2 linked regions of the Caenorhabditis elegans genome follow. The protein of the gene in region 1 purifies or fractionates together with the protein of each later gene. This does not show direct contact. Each region holds a gene or a part of one and is shown on either strand. Other genes may lie near its edges.

Region 1 (9,768 bases):
GGTGAACGCGATTTCCGGAAAAATCAATGAAATGGCCCGAACTCTCATCGTCAGCTCCTACCAGCACAGAAGATTCGGAACGGAACAATGGGTTCTACTCGAGGTATATAATATTTACTCGTTGGGTTTCCATTTAAAAATTGATTTTTTTCCAGAAACGCCTGAAAGTCCTCATCGCAAATCTGAAGCAAACGCACAACAACGTCCATGAAGTGAATCAGAGAATCGAGGCTCTCTAATTGTTTTTTTTTCGCTGTTCTTTTTAATATATTTGTTTTTGGTTCTCCCTATCGTATTTTCTTCCCATGAAAGTCCCCCGTTTTGTTGGTTCCCTCCTCTATAATTTCTATCTCTCTCTTGAAAAATTTCCCCATAAACTGTTGATTTAAAAAAAGAAAATGTTCCCCACTCTTCTGACTTAATATGGATTTTGTTCACTTCGAAACCCGATTATTTCTATTTATCCGTCGCTTTATCTTGTTTTTTTGTTATGCGATAAGCACACGGGCGTCTCACTTTACACTGATGCTCGTGGAGCCGGAGGGACAAGAGATTAGTCTCTTCCGCTTCGATGATAATCAGATGTTTGTCACTTGACGGACGAAGCCAATCTTTGTTCTTAATTTTCAGAGTTCGGAGAAACTAGCCTTTTTTTGAAGAAAAGTCCAAAAATTCTGCTAATGAAAACGGGAATTTTAGTTAATTTTCCTTTTTCTCAAATTCTTTTTGAAATTAAATTTAAAAAATTCGAGTCATATTTAAAAAAAAACCATGCCTTCTCTATTTTGCACATTTTAGAAGTTACTGCCGCATTTTTTTTCCAGATTTTGGTACATTTTCAGTCGATAGGTGCACAAAAATTGGAAATTCGTGCGCCTATAGACTGTAATTGTACCAAAATATGCGAAAAAAATGATCTACAAAATTATTTTAAAAGCTGAAGCTACGTGATTGGAAAATTTGGCTCCAAAAAAATCGAAAATTGACTTAAATTCAGAAAATACACAAAAGAAAAACGAAAAAAATCGGTAAAGAATGAAAGATTCTTTTTTTTCAAGCGAATGTTTAAAAAATACTTGGTACTCCTGCTTGAATTCCCTCCGAAAGTGAGAGCTGGGACCAATCAGCGATTCGCTCCGGCTACTTCAACCCTCTGATTAGTGGAAAAGTGGGCGGCGCAAATCTCTGATTTGTTGAATATCTCACATTGACGAGAATTTAACCAAAATTGAAAAATCAAAAAGAATTTGGATTTTCCATAATTCCGGTTTTTTTTTGTTTCTCTATCGTGATTTTTCTGAATTTGGGTCTGAGGGTGTCGATTTTTCAATTTTTCACTGAAATCTAATGATTCAGATTTTTCAAAAAAATATCTTAACATTTTTTGGACGAATACATATGTTATCTTAGTGTTTTTCTTTTTATCAATTCAAACAAACTTCGTTAAAAATTGTATTTTAATGTTAATTAACTAAAAAAAATTAGATTTTCAATATTCCAGAAAAGTCGAAACATTCTCCGATGACACCATTTTTTGAGATGTTCTTGAAATTTTTAAAACCAAATTTCCAATCATTTTACTTCATCTTCAAATTAAAGAATCAAACTGATATTTTTGTAGGTTCTGTGATGCTTCATAAGTAGAACATATTTCTAATACAAAAGTAGTTTGTATATGTGTGTATATACGCGTATCCGCGCAGCCTGTGTTCATCAGTTTCTTTTTCTCCTACTCCTCCTACTCCTCCACCGAAATGCGTCATATTCTCTGGTTTTTTCTCTCTTTTTCCCTCCATCTCTCTATCTCTCTCTCTCTCTGTCTTTGGCCGATTGGTGCTGCTGGGCGCCCCTCGAAAGCGAGCCGCCCGTGAGAGTGTTATGAAACATTGACGAGACGCCGAGAGGCATGAGAGAAGGGGTAAACCCCCGGGCGAACTGTGTGAAGTTCTGTGCTTAATCACCCTCCTGTGGATCGTTCGATGATGAGATGATCTTGAACACGGGCGGTGTGTATGTCCACTCTTTTTCTCTCCTCTCTTCGTTTTTTTTGAATACTCTCAATTTGTTGTGTCTGCTCCTCAATTTCCTTATGCAGCTTCTTCTTTTTTGACAGCTTTATTTTGCACAACGGAAAGTTATCCTCTTGTTTTTTTTTGTTTATAGGTTTTCGCCCAATAAAAGCAAAACAAAAACCAGTTCTTCGGAAATACTTTCGATTTAAGTGGTGATGAAAAAAAGAACATTTTGTGATGTTAAATGATGACTAACAGATCAAAATTGTTGTTTTATGGCCCCAAAAAAGCTGAATTTCAGAACGAAACTTTTATGGAGGTTAAAAAATTCTTGAATATAGCTTGGTTTTTTTTAAATCTAAAACCTCCAATTTCGCCACCTTTTCCGTTTCGCAGAATTCAGAAAGTGATTTTAATTTGATTATTGTCCTATTTTCTGCATATTTGGATTGTTTTTCTCACGGGTTTTCGATAATTTAGTTGCATTTGAATCTAATTTGGACACAGAAAAAATGACGAAGTTGTGGGTTTTTAGCTAACAAAACATTTTTAAGCAAAAACCGTCATTTATTTTTTGAGCGATTTTTTAAAGTCTCGTTATGAAATTCAGTTTTTTGAGTTCATTGTATTTAGTCCTCACTAAAAAATTCAGAACGAAATGCACTAAAATCATATTTAAATAAATATTAAAAAATTAAATGAATTAAAAAATTTTTAAAAAAATTCGTCCGTCCAAATCAAATTTCTCTCATTTTTTCCCAAACTTTTCATTTTCATTCCTGAGACGTCTATCAAACAGAAGGTAATTATTTAAGTGATAGTGAAAGCTCCGTATGCAAAATTTCCATCTTTTTCCACATTTTTCGGTGTGATAAGACAGAATTGTGATTAGTGGTCTCTGTTCAAAATAATGCAAAAAATGACTAACAGATATTTTTTTCTTGCAAAATTTAAGATCTTAGCTAAACATAGCTTGAAATTTTCGAAATTTTGAACTGCCATTAACAAAATTCGTTCATTTGAGCACATTTTGGGTTTATAAATTCAAAATATCCGAAACCGTTAATCATCATCGTTAAAACATATTTACCCTCCAATTCAACGCCGTCAAAAAAAAATGTTGATGTCATTTTCCGCGTGACTTTCCTTTTTCTAAACACTATTTTTTGATCATTGATTTAAAAAAAAGAAAACAGTTTTATTATTTTCTTGTTTCTTCAGTAACCCGGGAAACTTGGCCCCCCAACCATGCATCGGGCGAGTCTTATATGTCGTCTTGCGTCCCCCAGTCGCATCAATGCCATCAGAAATGCTTCATCCGGAAAGAGCCACATTTCTGCTTCGACACTTGTTCAGGTAGTGACAAAAAATTCGAAAAAATTGGTTAAATTAATTTGAGAAGAGTATTTCAAAACAATTTTTCCCGGTTTGTGCTCCAAAAATAAGGTATCTAAAGTCTCGACAGGAAAGTTTTCTTTAATTAAATGCGAAAAGTCCGACTTGCGTTAAATGTGAAATATTCATCGATTTTTCAAAATATTTTTTCGGTGAAATATAAAAAATCGATTGAAATCCCTCATTTTTAAATTACAGTACTCTTTAAAGGCGCACACATTTTCGCATTTAACAGAAATTTGTCGTGGTGAGACCCTAGGTACCGTATTTTGAGTAAAAATTTCACGCCTGGATATCATATTAATTCCAAAATTTTCCAGCACCGCAATCAGTCAGTGGCCGCCGCCGTCAAGCATGAACCATTCCTAAATGGATCCTCATCCATCTACATTGAGCAAATGTACGAAGCTTGGCTTCAGGATCCATCATCAGTACACACTTCATGGGATGCGTACTTCCGCAATGTCGAGGCCGGAGCCGGACCAGGACAAGCTTTTCAGGCTCCACCAGCAACTGCCTACGCTGGAGCTCTTGGAGTTTCACCAGCAGCTGCTCAAGTCACGACCTCGTTCGTTTTTTTTGTTCTGATTGTGATGATGATAAACATCTAAACGAGAATTGAAGTCAACAACCTTGGAATTTTTCTTTGAAAAAACTGTTTTTCAAAGGGAAAATTTCAGAATATTCACTACAGTAATCTCAAAGGCTCCCGTGAACAGTTTTTATCAAAACAACTTTTTTTTGAAATTTTGAATCATCATGAAAGTTTTTTGGAGATTTTTAATAAAGTCTCATTAGAAAATTGGTAGTTTTAAGCAAAAAAATTTGCCCAGTGCGCCTTTAAGATTACTGTAGCGAGAAAAAATTGCAAATTCGATACATTCAATAAATGCCGAAACTAGTGTGAAAAGCTTCGTTTTTTGCGTTCTTTAAAAATTTTATTAGAAAAAATATAAAATTCACCGTAAATTTTCTAATTTTAATCTCGAAAACTGTTCCAGATCTGCCCCGGCCACTCGCCTCGATACGAATGCATCTGTTCAATCGATCTCGGATCACTTGAAAATCCAGCTCCTCATCCGCAGTTATCAGACTCGTGGTCACAATATCGCAGATCTCGATCCACTCGGAATAAACAGTGCCGATTTGGATGACACGATTCCACCGGAGCTTGAACTCTCGTTCTACGGACTTGGAGAACGTGATTTGGACCGAGAATTCCTTCTTCCGCCCACCACTTTTATCAGCGAAAAGAAGAGCTTGACGTTGAGAGAAATTCTTCAGAGACTTAAGGTGCGATCAAGGAATTGTGCAAAATGAGCCTATATTTTTCATTAAAATTTAGTGGATTTATCTGAAAATAACGTTTATTTCTGTTGGAAGAGGCCCCACGAAAAGGGGAGCAGAACGAAAAGGGGATCTGCAAAAAGGGGATCTGCGAAAAGGGGAGATACGAAAAGGGGAGATACGAAAAGGGGAGCAACGAAAAGGGGAGCTGGCACTGTGCCAAACGCACAAAACGCAATTTTTCTCACGCAACGCACGTTGATTTTTGAAATTTTCTTCTAGAAGATACGCTTAACAACACGCGACGCGTAACATCGGAGCATCGTTGTATCGTTTTCTTCGAGAAAAATAGCGTTTGGCACAGTGCCAGATCCCCTTTTCGTATCTCCCCTTTTCGTATCTCCCCTTTTCGCAGATCCCCTTTTTGCAGATCCCCTTTTCGTTCTGCTCCCCTTTTCGTGGGGCCTCTGTTGGAAAAATGGAAAAAGTTCTCAAAAATCGCCATTTCAGGCGATTTTGGACCGTTTTTCCAATCGAATTAAAAGTTATTTTCATACAAAGTCACTGAATTTTGAAAAAAGTATTGAAAAACATACCAAACTGGCTCAAAAATCAAAAATATAAAATCTAAAATTTCCAGGATATCTATTGCACCAGCACCGGAGTCGAATATATGCATTTGAACAATCTCGAGCAACAAGATTGGATCCGCCGACGATTCGAAGCTCCACGTGTCACCGAGCTCTCTCACGATCAGAAGAAGGTGCTGTTCAAACGTCTGATCCGGTCTACAAAGTTCGAAGAGTTCCTCGCCAAAAAATGGCCAAGTGAGAAGAGATTCGGTCTTGAGGGGTGCGAAGTTCTAATTCCGGCAATGAAGCAAGTCATCGACTCATCTTCGACACTTGGAGTCGACTCATTCGTCATTGGAATGCCACATCGTGGAAGGCTCAATGTGCTTGCCAACGTTTGCCGTCAGCCACTGGCCACGATTCTGTCGCAATTCTCGACTCTCGAGCCTGCTGATGAAGGATCCGGAGATGTTAAGTACCATTTGGGAGTCTGCATCGAACGATTGAACAGACAATCACAGAAGAACGTTAAAATCGCCGTCGTCGCTAATCCATCTCACTTGGAAGCTGTCGATCCAGTTGTGATGGGAAAGGTCCGAGCTGAAGCTTTCTATGCTGGAGATGAGAAGTGCGATCGGACGATGGCTATCCTTCTTCACGGAGATGCTGCGTTCGCCGGTCAAGGTGTTGTGCTCGAGACGTTCAATTTGGATGATCTGCCGAGTTACACGACTCACGGAGCCATCCACATCGTTGTGAACAATCAAATCGGATTCACTACCGATCCAAGATCTTCTCGCTCGTCTCCATATTGTACAGATGTTGGTCGTGTCGTCGGATGCCCGATCTTCCACGTGAACGTCGACGATCCGGAGGCTGTAATGCACGTGTGCAATGTCGCCGCCGATTGGAGGAAGACTTTCAAGAAGGACGTTATCGTGGATCTTGTTTGTTACCGGCGTCACGGACACAATGAGCTCGACGAGCCGATGTTCACTCAACCACTCATGTACCAACGAATCAAGCAAACGAAGACAGCACTGGAAAAGTATCAGGAGAAGATTCTCAACGAAGGAGTTGCAAATGAGCAATATGTTAAGGAAGAACTCACAAAGTACGGGTCGATTCTCGAGGATGCTTATGAGAATGCGCAGAAGGTGACATATGTTCGTAACAGAGATTGGCTCGATTCTCCATGGGATGATTTCTTCAAGAAGCGTGATCCACTCAAGCTACCATCAACCGGAATCGAACAGGAGAACATTGAACAGATTATTGGAAAATTCTCGCAGTATCCAGAAGGTTTTAATCTTCATCGTGGTTTGGAGAGAACACTGAAGGGGCGGCAGCAAATGCTCAAGGATAACTCGGTAAGATTTGAGCAAAAAATGTGCTAAATTAGGCTTAAAATCAAGAAAATCAATCAATCAAAATCTAATAAAATCCATATTTTGCGCATTTTTTTTCCAATTTTCATTAGAATTTTGAAGAGAAAACCCGAAAATTTTCAAAATTTAAAAAAAAAATTAATAATTTCAGCTTGATTGGGCTTGCGGAGAGGCTCTCGCGTTCGGATCACTTTTGAAAGAAGGAATTCACGTACGATTGAGTGGACAAGATGTTCAGAGAGGAACATTCTCACATCGACATCATGTTCTTCACGATCAAAAAGTTGATCAGAAGGTACTGGAAAAATAACTTTGTCGGTTTGTGGATTCTAAATGGCCAATCTATTATATTTTTTTTAGGTTTTCAGATCATAACACATGGATTTTCGCTGTAAAAAAAACTAGAAATAAGCAATTAATTTGACATTTTGAATGTTAAATCAGGGATGGGCGGCAATTCTACAAAATAGTCGATTGCACCATGTTGTTCCAACTTTTTTCATTGAAAACTAGCGTGAAAATATGGAAAATCACTTGATTTGTCTGGAAATAACAAATATCCATATTTTGTCACTAATTTAGAATTTAAAAAATTTTTGGAACAACATGGCGCAATCGACTACATTCCAAAATTACCTATTAATCGATTACTTCTAGTGTTTCATGTGAAAATCCATGTATTTTTTTTTATTGAAAAAAACGATAAATTGGCCATTTAGAATTTAAAAATAGTTTGAAATGAATAATTTTTTGCCCAAAAATTCTTAAGAATTTTGAAGTCAATTCCAAAAACATTTATTTTTCCAGATCTACAACCCACTGAATGATCTATCTGAAGGACAAGGAGAATACACAGTCTGCAATTCATCCCTCTCAGAGTACGCTGTTCTTGGATTCGAACTCGGTTATTCGATGGTCGATCCGAACTCTCTTGTCATTTGGGAAGCTCAATTCGGAGATTTCTCCAACACAGCTCAATGCATCATTGATCAATTCATCTCGTCAGGACAGTCGAAATGGATTCGTCAATCTGGATTGGTGATGCTTCTGCCTCATGGATACGAAGGAATGGGACCAGAACACTCGTCGGCTCGACCGGAAAGATTCTTGCAAATGTGCAATGAAGACGATGAGATTGATCTTGAGGTAGCCTGCCGATTGATGGATCGGAAAAAAGGAAAAAACTGCATTTTTTGAAACGAAATTCAAATATTTTGTTGAAAAAAAATTATGCTTCATAGTTTTTCTCCTATTTTTGGCGAAAAATTAAGACATTTTCAATTTTGACACGATTTTGTCTAAAAAAAAGGAAACGGAATTAAATTTCAGGAGCACGAAAAAAAAACTAGAAACACTTTTTTTTTGTAATTTTGAAAGAAGCAAACTATTTTTTGTGAACCTGCATAGCTATTTTCAAAATTAAAAATAAAAATATTTTTCGTTTTTTTTTTTCGTACTCCTGAAGTTCAATTTCATTTCATTTTTTTGAACGAAATTGTGCCAAAATTGAAAATTTTTTAATTTTTTATACTTTCAATTCCCCGAAGTAGGAGAAAAATGATAAATCTAACTCGAAAGGTTTTTTGATTTTTAAAAAATTTAAATTGAAAATTGAAAAGTTTCTTTGTTCTATGTCTATTTTTCGATATTTCGCAAAAAAAAAGTTTAAATTTTGGCAATTTTTATTCTTTTTAGAAGAAAAAAAATTGAATTTTATGGTTAATGCATTTTTCTCGATATTGGATACTTATATATACTTAATTTTAAAAAAACTATGAAAATATTCGAATTTTTCAGAAAATCGCGTTCGAAGGAACATTTGAAGCTCAACAACTGCACGATACCAATTGGATCGTTGCCAACTGCACAACACCAGCCAACATCTATCATCTTCTCCGCCGTCAAGTAACAATGCCATTCCGTAAACCGGCAGTCGTCTTCTCACCAAAATCTCTTCTCCGTCACCCGATGGCTCGTTCTCCAGTCGAAGACTTCCAATCTGGATCCAATTTCCAAAGAGTTATTCCAGAAACTGGTGCTCCATCTCAGAATCCACCAGACGTGAAGCGAGTTGTCTTCTGTACTGGAAAAGTGTACTACGATATGGTCGCCGCCCGTAAGCACGTTGGAAAGGAGAATGATGTTGCACTAGTCAGAGTTGAGCAGCTCTCACCGTTCCCATATGATTTGGTGCAACAAGAGTGCAGAAAGTATCAAGGAGCCGAGATTTTGTGGGCTCAAGAGGTATGAAATTTTAGAAAATTGAAAACTTTTGCAAATTGTGCTGATTTAAATTTAGAAAAATAGAAAATTTGCTTTGTAACTTAGTTTTCTGAAATTTCGACTCGCCAATATTTGTGTCTCGCCACGAAAAGTTAAATTTTTTTTTCCTATTTTCGGTTCTGGGAGTCTCTAGAAGACGATTTTTCGATTTTTCTCCGACGTTAAAATTTGCAAATTTTATAGATTTTCACAGAAAATTTACGGATTTATAGCTTTGATCCCAAAAATATATTGTTCCCGGTCCCGACACGACCGATTTTTTTAATTGCAATAAAGTGTGTGCGCCTTTATGGAGTACTGTAGTTCCAAACTCGTTTGTTTCTCGGAATTTGCTTTGATGATGTCTCCGTTTCCTCGAAATCGGCTGAAATGAGACGAAAAGAATATCCCAATGCGTGAATTTGTCGTAATTTTTGCATTAAAAAAATACGATACATGGTCTCGACACGACAATTTTTTGTTAAAAGCTAAAAAAGATGTGCGCTTATGAACGGGTGCTGTAGTTTATAACCGAAACAGTTGAAAAACTAAGAAATCGATGAAAATTCCGCAGAAGAAACGTTTGAAACTACGGTACTCTTTAAAGGCGCATATCATACATATCACATTGATAAATCGGCCGTGTCGAGACCTGGAATATTATTTTTGGTGCGAAAATCTTAACATTTCGCATCTGTGTAATATTTTTGCTGTAATTTTTAAAATTGTAAAAAATTGAAAAATCTAAAATATAGACCCTATCGAAATACAATATTTCCAACATGAAAATTTTCCAGGAGCACAAGAACATGGGAGCCTGGTCATTCGTGCAACCACGCATCAACTCACTTC
Region 2 (9,375 bases), on another chromosome or scaffold:
CGAAAAATTGTTTTTTTTTTTTGATTTTTCGAAAATTTCAATTTTTTCAAAAGATTTTTAGAAAATTTCAATTGATTTTAGTTTTTTTTGTTGGTGTTTTTGTTCTTCGAAAAATTGTTTTTTTTTTTTGATTTTTCGAAAATTTCAATTTTTGTTCCCCCAGCCCTGATACTTACTCCTAGTCCAACCCACCATGATAAGTAAGCCTCTTGCTTTGCATTTTCGTACGAATCATCTCAATGGGACTGACTACCGTAACCGCAATGGTTCTTGCTACAATTCCAGCCACTGCTGCAGCTGACCAATCAGGAGGCGTCCATTTTTCCGGAGAAAATGCCCGTCGGCAACACATTCTGAAAACCATTTTTATTATTTTTGGAATTTCAACAACAAAAAAATTCTAACTTTTTCTTCAACCAAACTGATAGATTATCATAAGTTGTAAAATAGAAAACAGTCGCCGGTAGAGCCATAACCATAGTAGGGGACAATCCACTCCATAATGACCGTATTCCTTCATGTCGTGCAATTTTCACAATTGCATCTGCAGTTCCACGAAAATTACCGGGTCGTTGATACCATTCACAAGGTTTTCTGACTTCACACGATACACAAACGTGCTCCATAAGACCATTGTGATAGTAAAAACATTCTCCTTTTGGAAATGGTCGAGTTTGTTGTTGGAGTCGAATTTTCACGACGTCTAAGGGAGTCACTGCAAAGATAAACTTTTCTGTTTTCGATTTTTCAGGCGTATATACGGTTGCGTGTCTCGAAACGACCGATATTTCGCAGATACCGTATCCCCAATAATTTTTTTGTTGTGTTTTTTCAATGCTTTTCAAATTGTGAAAAAATTATAATTGGGAAATACTTCTGGGTACGGTAGCTGCAAAGTTCCAATCCTTTCGAGACCCGGTACCGTACTTTTCTGTCCAAAATTGAAAAAATCTGCAACTGATATGAAGCTTACTAAAAAGTGATGTAACAATTGCACCAGATGAACTCGCTGATACTTGTTGTAGTACTCCAACGGATAGTTGCTTCTTGCAGCATTCTACTGATTTCGCTGAAAAGATTTTTGTTCGTTATATTTTATTCCAGATATTTTCTTCGAAAAATTTAGTTTTTTAACGCAAAAGTATAGTAATTTATTTTTGTTTTTGTTTGTACACGATCGAAATATTTTCAAATGAGGTACTGTAGCCTCACTCCTTCCAGATTTTGATGTCACATGAATAATAATTAGTAGACTTTAAAATCTCGAGAAAACAATGTGTTACCCACTTTTCATTTGGAAGTAATTCGATCGTGTCGAGACCCGATACCATAATTTTGCGATAAAAATCCCATATTTTCCCGAATGAGTAATAATCAAAATATTCACCACAAGACGAGGAAGGTGCTCCGGAGCAATTTGTCGTTTTACCGCTTTCACATGGTGACGGCATCTGTTACTGGAAATACGGAAACTTCCGATAAAAAATAGAAAATCACATTTAAAATATTAGGTTTGAAATACTTAGATAACAAATCACAGTTTTCAAAAATCTAGTATAATAACAAAAAAACCTTTTCATTCAACTTGGAAACAGGGAGAAAACAGTGAAAGCTGAAATAGGGATTCGGGTACGTATAAATTATGAAAATGAATAGAAACAACAAAACTCAAAAAGTGGGGATATAATATTATTAGAAACAAGAAGAACAAATAATTTTTTAGAAAGAATCTAGTTTTCTGGGACGTTAGCCTTGTACACAATAGTACGCCCAAGATCGAACTTTTCACTTCCAGAAGTCACAGAAATCTTGTTATCAGCCTCGAAATTGAAAATGTCTGCGTCGGACAATTGAATGTTCTCCTCGAATGGATTTCTGTACGAAATCATCTGTCGATCTCCCCAAACCGCGTTCTTGTATCTCCAGAGGCTCACTTCGAATTTCGCTGAAAATATAATAAATTGAATTTATTGTTTTCGGAATAGGGTTTTCTCATACGTTTGATTGCCTTGCTGATGCGTCTCATCTTCCGAATAACCATTGAAACACTGTCTCCATTAACAATTGGTACATCAACATCGAACATTGCATTGCAGATTTGAACATTTCTGGCGACAAGTTTGATTGTTGGCTGAAAATAATTATGATGTCATTATTATTGGTACGCAGAAAAATTCCCCTCTTGAAATTGATATGGAAATGCGCTCCACTGCCGATTGACAACGCCCCGCCTCCTACAGTTGGGTCTCGTAAGGTATTTGGCGTGCTTGAAAACTGCAGAGACGAATTTAAAATGTTTGAATTTACGGTTTTGCCGCCAAATACCTAACGAGACCCATGGTTAGAAGGCGGAGCATGTTCCCATGCCCCTATAATATGTTTCCTTACTCTATTCGGCGTGAAATTCAACATTGGCACCAGCGGTACTGTAGTCTCAACAATATTCGCATCAATTCCCTCCTCATCAGTATGTCGAATAGTAACACGATCCAAATCCAAAGCGTTCATAATAAAATCAATATTCTCGTTGAGAATTGAAGTTTGATCAACTGGACTAGAAGAAGCCAATGCTGAAACACCCTTCTGTTCGAATCTTTCCTTGATCATTTGAACGAATGGCATCGCTTTTTTGGCGAATTTCTTGAGTGATTCTTCTTTTCCAATGAGCTGACTGATTGCTTTATTATCTGGAAGTGCTCCATTATTAGCCTTGGCTTGTTTCTCAAGAATATCAAGAATAGTCTTCTGCCATGGTGGATATTCTTTAGCAACATAGATCACTGCTTCAGTTGGAACTTCTGGAATCTCCTTCAGTGCCTTCTTCTTTGGAGTCATGTAGGTTTTCAGTCGGGCACGGAATTCGGCCAGCGATTCCGTGATGAAACGAGCACCAATGGCGAGCTTCTCATCGACAGGATCGACAGTTGGCCATGGAGCATTTACAATCAAGCCGTCTTTTCCGAGCAATTGCCAGATGTATTCAGCAATATGTGGGCAGATTGGTGATAGGATGAGCATCTAAAATAAAAAACAAATTAAACTTTTAAAGGTGTCGTCTGGCGTTTTTTTTTTGCCCCAAATGACAGAAATCAGTCTTAATCGAACGAAAATAGATTTTAAGAAATTTATAGAAATTTCCTAAACTTTTTTAATATACGGCAATACTGATTTGTTTTTTTTCTCGTTTTTCTAGAATTTTTGTTGCAGAATTTGAAACAATTCTTTCAATTTTTACACTAATAATCGGTATCTGTCATCTTGAGAAAAAAATCTTTCTGAAAATATACCTGAGTTTCAATGAATCTAAAGACAAGCGATTCGCTCATTGGCTCATCAATTCCAGCGCAAAGTTCTCTGTATGTATCTCTAATGGCTTGATATTCGAAGAATCCAGTTTTCAGTGCATCCTTGAAGTTGGTAGCTTCATAATTTTGTTCTGTGGCAGCGATCAGTGAATTCATTTCATTTGCAAAAACTCGATCAGCGAATTTCTTTGCATCTTTTCGGAGAAGTCCGGCATCCCGTTGTTCAATCATTTCCTTGATCCATTCGATCATAGTGAATAGTCTCAGAATAGCTGCATCTGCCATTGCGTACACAAAGTTAGCATCTTCCAAACCATCCCCAGCATCGGCAAGACTCAATCTCATACCATCTGCGCTGAACTTTTCGATGGCTTCTTCCAATGTCATAAAGTTTCCAGTGGATTTCGACATTTTCTCATTGTTCAAGAGCAAATGTCCATTGGCCCGAATTCCTTTTGGCCATTTTGAAGTGTCTGTTGGCCAGATTGCAGCATGATTGAACAGAAGATATGTCAAATGATTTCCGATAAGATCTTTTCCAGATGCTCTCATATCAATTGGATACCAATACATGAATTCTTTCCTCAATGATTTAAGCTTTTCCTCCTCAACCGGCATGGTTTTCGAATCGTAAATTTCTCCGAGGAATACATAACTCCACGAAGCATCTGTCATCTGATCAGCTTTAATTCCAGCAGGTCCGACGACTGATCCATCAAAAGCTCCCTGTTGGAGAAGATGAGCAACTGTATAATAAGCATTGTAGATTGTAGAGTCTGACAGAGATTCGATGAGGTATTGAGTATCCCATGGAAGTTTGGTTCCAAGACCGTAACTTCTGGAGCAAGCATACTCGTGGAGCCAATCGACTGTGGTTTCCAATCCACGGCGGGTCTGAAAATTTTAATTCAGCGGAATAAGAATATACTACATAGACATCTAAAAATGAGAATTTTCGACATATCTTACGCGCAGAGGACGCAGGCAACGAATTACTGTAACTTCTGTTGTCTAATGGGCCGTTATTGCGTCATATTCTTTAAATTAAACTCCAATTTCAACAAAAAGGGTTTTAAAAAAATCGTCCGTAGAGTTGGAGTAATTTGTAAACTATGATATTCTTTGAACAAATTTTTTCGATTTTTAGATAAAATTGTGGTTTTATTTAGAGAATATGCTGCAATAAAAAACCCTTTGATCGGCAAGTTACAGTAACTCGTTGTCTGCGTGGCAAGACCTCTGCGCGTAAGAGATGGCGAAGATTCTTATTTTTAGACGTCTACATAATATTTTTTCAAAAATAATTTAAAAAAATATACCTCATCATTGAAAGTTCTGAGTGGCTCAAGAACCTTCTTTGCAGCAGCCTTCCATTCAGCCTCTCCATAATTCAAATACCATTGATCACACAACGCAACGACGCACTCATCTCCAGATCTGCTCATCACCTTCTTCTCAGGCTCCACATATTTCGTGGCAAGACCTTCAGCTGTCAAATCATCTTGAATAACTTTCTTGACGTCGGCTGTCTTCTTTCCAGCATACTTTCCGACGAGCATAACTCCATCGTAGAATCCTTTCAAATAAACTTCTTTCTTCGCCTCTTCCAGTTTGTCCTTCTCATTTTGAGACTCAATTTTCAGCCTTGAGCACATTTCAACTGCAGCCAAATCCCCAAGTCCTTCGATTTTAATAATTGGAACTGGTTCGAATGGAAGAACCATCTCATCAGTCAATCCATATTTTTCTCTCAATGGCTTCTTCTTCTTGAGATCCGACAAAGCTGCAAAATCATCTGGAGAGTCTGATGGTACACTTGTAACAACACCAGTTCCCTTATCATCCTTGATAGTCAACATTGGCAATGCATAAACTCTTTCGTATTTTGCGAGAGGCGCAGAGAGTGGAGCTCCGAGAATCTTGCTTCCAGCGATTTTCTCGAGTCCCAGGACATAGTTGACTTTACCATTTTCCTTAGTCAATCCTTGATATGACATGATTCTAGCAGATCTGGCAGTTGCCACAAATACTTGTTTCTCGTTTTCCGTCGCATAAAACACGGAATATTGAATATCTGGATGGAGATAACAATTCGTTTGTCCGTACATTGTTTCAGGTCTCAAAGTAGCCGCAACGAGATAAATATCCTCTTTGATATGGCTCAAAGCTTGAGGTTTTGGATCAAGAACTTTCAGTTTAATAAGAGTATATTCTTGTGGACCAACACCTTCTCCACTGGCACGATCGTGATCCATGCATGGTTGACCGTCTTTCGGTGAATAAATTGTATATCTCTTTCCGAAATCGATCTTCTTAGCTGCACGAAGAAGGTTGAACTGCCAACGGACGAATGAGTCGAAGTATGGATTCACGTCGGTGGTGATGAAGGAACGACGCCAATCAGCCTGAAAAATGGCAATTTTTAATTTAATAATTTCGAAATGTTTCTTTTTTAATTTTGTGATAAGTTAAATTTTTTTGAGAATTATATTATTATTAAAATGGAGAAGCAAAAATGAGGAAGTAAGGCATTTTGTTCCAATATTCATTAAATACAATTCAGGGATATAATATAGAAAAATATTTCATTTATCTGAAAATAGCTTTGATTAAGGTTGAAAAATTGGAAAAGTGCCAAAAAAATCGCCGGTAAAAACCGACCAATTATCGAAATTTTTTTACAGGTTATTTTCAACTTTTAATCACTAAAATAAAAACTATTTTCAGATAAATCAAATGTTTTTTTTCCAAATTCTATCACTAAATTTTAATCAAAAATATTGGAAAAACATAATAATTTAGTACTATTTTTACAGAACTCACTTTCAACACTTTAAGATGATTTCAACACTTTAAATCTTACCTTTAGTCCCATTTTCTTAAGATCAGCAATGCAATGTGGTGGGAAATAATATAGCCAATGATTTGGATCCGAGAATTCCTTAATTTCCTCATCACACAATCCCAGAGACTTCATAATTTGCCATTGGTATTTTGCATTTCCAGTTTTTGCCACCAATTTACTCTTCTTTCCTTTACTCTTATCCTTGATAATCTCATCGACAGCCGAAACTTCTTCTTTAACTTCCTCGACAACATCTTCCGGGAAATTTGGTGGATATCCGAAATCTTGCATTTCTCTTTTCAATTTATCTGCACATGCTTTAATTGGCATTCCAGTACAATGAAATCCGAATGGAAAGAGCACTTCTTTGCCTTGAAGACGTTGGAAACCGGCGGCAAATTCACATTTTGAAGCTGAGAATGTGTGTCCCAAATGAAGACGTCCATTCATGTATGGGAAGGGAAACGTGACGAGGTACTTTGGTTTTCCACTGAAATTTTTTAAATTGAAAATAATTCAAAATTTTCAGAAAAAACTCACTCATCCCTAGCATCCGCCTCGAAAGCCTTCTTGCTCTCCCACAGCTCCTGAATGCTCTTTTCAATTTCTTGAAGTTGAGCAACCTTCTTCCGCTCCTTATTGATTTTCGACATTGTCGATATTTGTTACCCTGATATTTAAAAATAATTAAAACCTTTAAAAAATTCTTTTAAGCAATAGATTACATCAGAAAACACAAAATGATGAAATTTACTTGGTTTCTATTTGAAAAAAATCAATAAGTGATTAGAAAGCAAACAAGTTTGTGGAAAAAAATCGATATTGAGATTTAATTGTCGATAAAAAAGTTCAAATTTTAAAGGGAACAACTTAAAATAGGCCCATTTTCTACCGTTCTAAAAATCCTGCATTATCATGGCCTAGTTTTGCAATGGCATCGACCGCGGCCACGTCAACTTTCCCAACTTTTCATAGGGGTTTCAATCACTCGGAGAAGGCGATAAAATAATACAATATTATAAAAAATGAAGAAAAATGTACTTTTCGAGTTCTCGAACAATAATTTACCAATTTATAGAAATACAATTAGTGATTTTTTCGGAGCAACAACAGAAATTGGATTTTTTCTACAATTATTAGTAATCTATAACAGGCTAAAGGTACATTAAAATAGTTTATAATAAATTTAATTATCTTTAAATTTTTTGGTATATAAAAATTCTACAACTGCTACAACATGAAACATATTGAAAAGGAATTTTTGCAATATTTCATATTCGACTGATTTCAGGAATAGGTCACACTGCACCATATTACTTGGAATTAAATTCGTAAATGCTCCGTTTTGCTCTTAACGAATCAAGTACGGTTTCTACTTTTGAATGGAATTTTGCAAAATATACTTAGTTCATAAAATTATTCCTTTTCCATATCCAATGAAGGCCAATTTATCAAGTTGGACACACACATTGGTCAGATTACAACAAGTGGGATTACACTCAACATCACTTTCTCCTTGCTATAAATACCGGCTGACAGACTTTAATAGTGACTTGAGATAGGTTCTTCGCTGGACGAACTTGACTCGATTTGTATTAATTCATCTAAATTTCTCAAAGCAGAATGTTCCGAAATCTAGATTTTAGTAAAATAGCCATATTTAACTAAATATGTTTCCATAAATCTTCTGAAATTCTCCCAATTTTTAATTGTTTTTTAACCAAAATTTTAATACCAAAAAATTTAAACATCTTCTTAATAGAAGGTACACAATAGATCATATATTTTCATAGTGATACTACTGATTAACCCAGGCAAAACATGATATATCCTAATTCGCAATATACAAAAAAAAACATTCCTTATCTCCGAAAATTTCCAGTTCTAATTTCACTTATTGCGCAACCATGGACGTCCGTCGTCTTCATCACTTTCTCACCTTGTTGTATATCACTACGCAACAAACTTATATAATTTTACCCGATATGCCAAGAACCAGATCTGTTTGAGGCAGATGATGTCCAGCTATTTGAAGGTTTTGTTACACTTCTAGTCAACCCGATTTTGGGAGTATTTAACGACGATGGAGATTGACCGATTTTAACAATCTTACACACTTCTAGATGAGGAGATCTATTATTTTTCTAGCGGCGATTTGTGGGGTCACGTTGGCTGAAAGAAAGGTGAGTTACTTTGGACAATTCGTACCTACGAATATGGATAATTTTTAGGCAAGACAGGATAATGTTGGTGACGATTATTCTGATTTTTCATCTCAACCGGTCAAGAATGCTGGTGCCAACCATAATTTGAAACAAGTAACCTACTCAACAATCGCACCGAAATTCGATATTCCAACTCGTGCACCACTTTTGAACCCAAATCCGATTGGACGCAATCAGAATCCCGTTCAAACTACCACAAAGAGGCCAGTTGTCGCCTATAGAAGAGGGTATTTCTTCCAGCATTACCCATGGGATAGGCTTCCAAGAAGATATCTTCTTCGTCCAGGAATGACATATGTATATCCACCACAGTACACATTCGCAACCTACCGTTATCCACATCTGCCATACACCGACCACTACAGTATCTACCGTACTCATCCAGGAATCGGTTCCGGCTGTGGAGGAGGTGGGTGTGGTGGCGGATATCCACAGGGTTACGGTAGCTATGCTGGTTATGGAAACAGTGGAGGATGTGGAGGTGGAAGTGGCACCGGATGCGGGGGTTATAACGATGATGAAGACGAGGATTCATATGAAGACAGCGATGAGGAGAATGGAAAGAGTGGAGAAGCAAAGATCAACAAGAAGGATCCATTGGAAGATTTGGAGCTGGAAGATTTGGAAAAACTATCAAAATCTGATGACACAAAATCTGGAACTTCTGAGGCAGTCACTTCTGATGATGTTGATGTTGAACCAACTGAGATTAAAAAATCAAAGTTAGGAGATGATGAGGACCTGATTGACGATCGAAAAAAAAAAGCAAAAAGAAACTTCCTCGTCAAGTGGGCTTAATTAACTAAGAATTTCACTATTTTTGTTAAAATTATTATTTATTTTTTGTTATTGAGGATCTCAGGGATAATTGACAATTTGCTGCAATTCGAATTCTCTGCAATATTGTAAATAAATATTTTTTCACTTTTAAAAACGGCCGACAACAATGAAAACGTATGTTTCCACTTCATATAACCACAGAAACGATATGCACGACATC

What was found.
Region 2: the proteins of ogdh-1 (region 1) and lars-1 fractionate together in Caenorhabditis elegans (co-fractionation; one large-scale study listed by BioGRID). This does not show direct contact.

The regions. Positions count from the first base shown.
Region 1 is NC_003282.8:4,697,477-4,707,244, reverse strand, and holds the start of ogdh-1 (2-oxoglutarate dehydrogenase, mitochondrial), read left to right. Parts: upstream 1-3,251; 5' UTR 3,252-3,260; coding exon 3,261-3,368; intron 3,369-3,727; coding exon 3,728-3,975; intron 3,976-4,408; coding exon 4,409-4,700; intron 4,701-5,334; coding exon 5,335-6,636; intron 6,637-6,805; coding exon 6,806-6,949; intron 6,950-7,461; coding exon 7,462-7,800; intron 7,801-8,451; coding exon 8,452-8,898; intron 8,899-9,713; coding exon 9,714-9,768. Other genes in the region: cif-1 (COP9/Signalosome and eIF3 complex-shared subunit 1), read left to right, coding at 1-103, 156-239. UniProt on the Caenorhabditis elegans protein: The 2-oxoglutarate dehydrogenase complex catalyzes the overall conversion of 2-oxoglutarate to succinyl-CoA and CO(2).
Region 2 is NC_003281.10:4,179,982-4,189,356, forward strand, and holds lars-1 (Leucine--tRNA ligase), read right to left. Parts: upstream 6,821-9,375; 5' UTR 6,804-6,820; coding exon 6,691-6,803; intron 6,641-6,690; coding exon 6,169-6,640; intron 5,711-6,168; coding exon 4,625-5,710; intron 4,200-4,624; coding exon 3,288-4,199; intron 3,019-3,287; coding exon 2,389-3,018; intron 2,132-2,388; coding exon 1,999-2,131; intron 1,946-1,998; coding exon 1,731-1,945; 3' UTR 1,568-1,730; downstream 1-1,567. Other genes in the region: putative mitochondrial carrier C16C10.1, read right to left, coding at 193-353, 406-715, 974-1,069, 1,388-1,451; R74.2 (FIP (Fungus-Induced Protein) Related), read left to right, coding at 8,274-8,333, 8,382-9,173.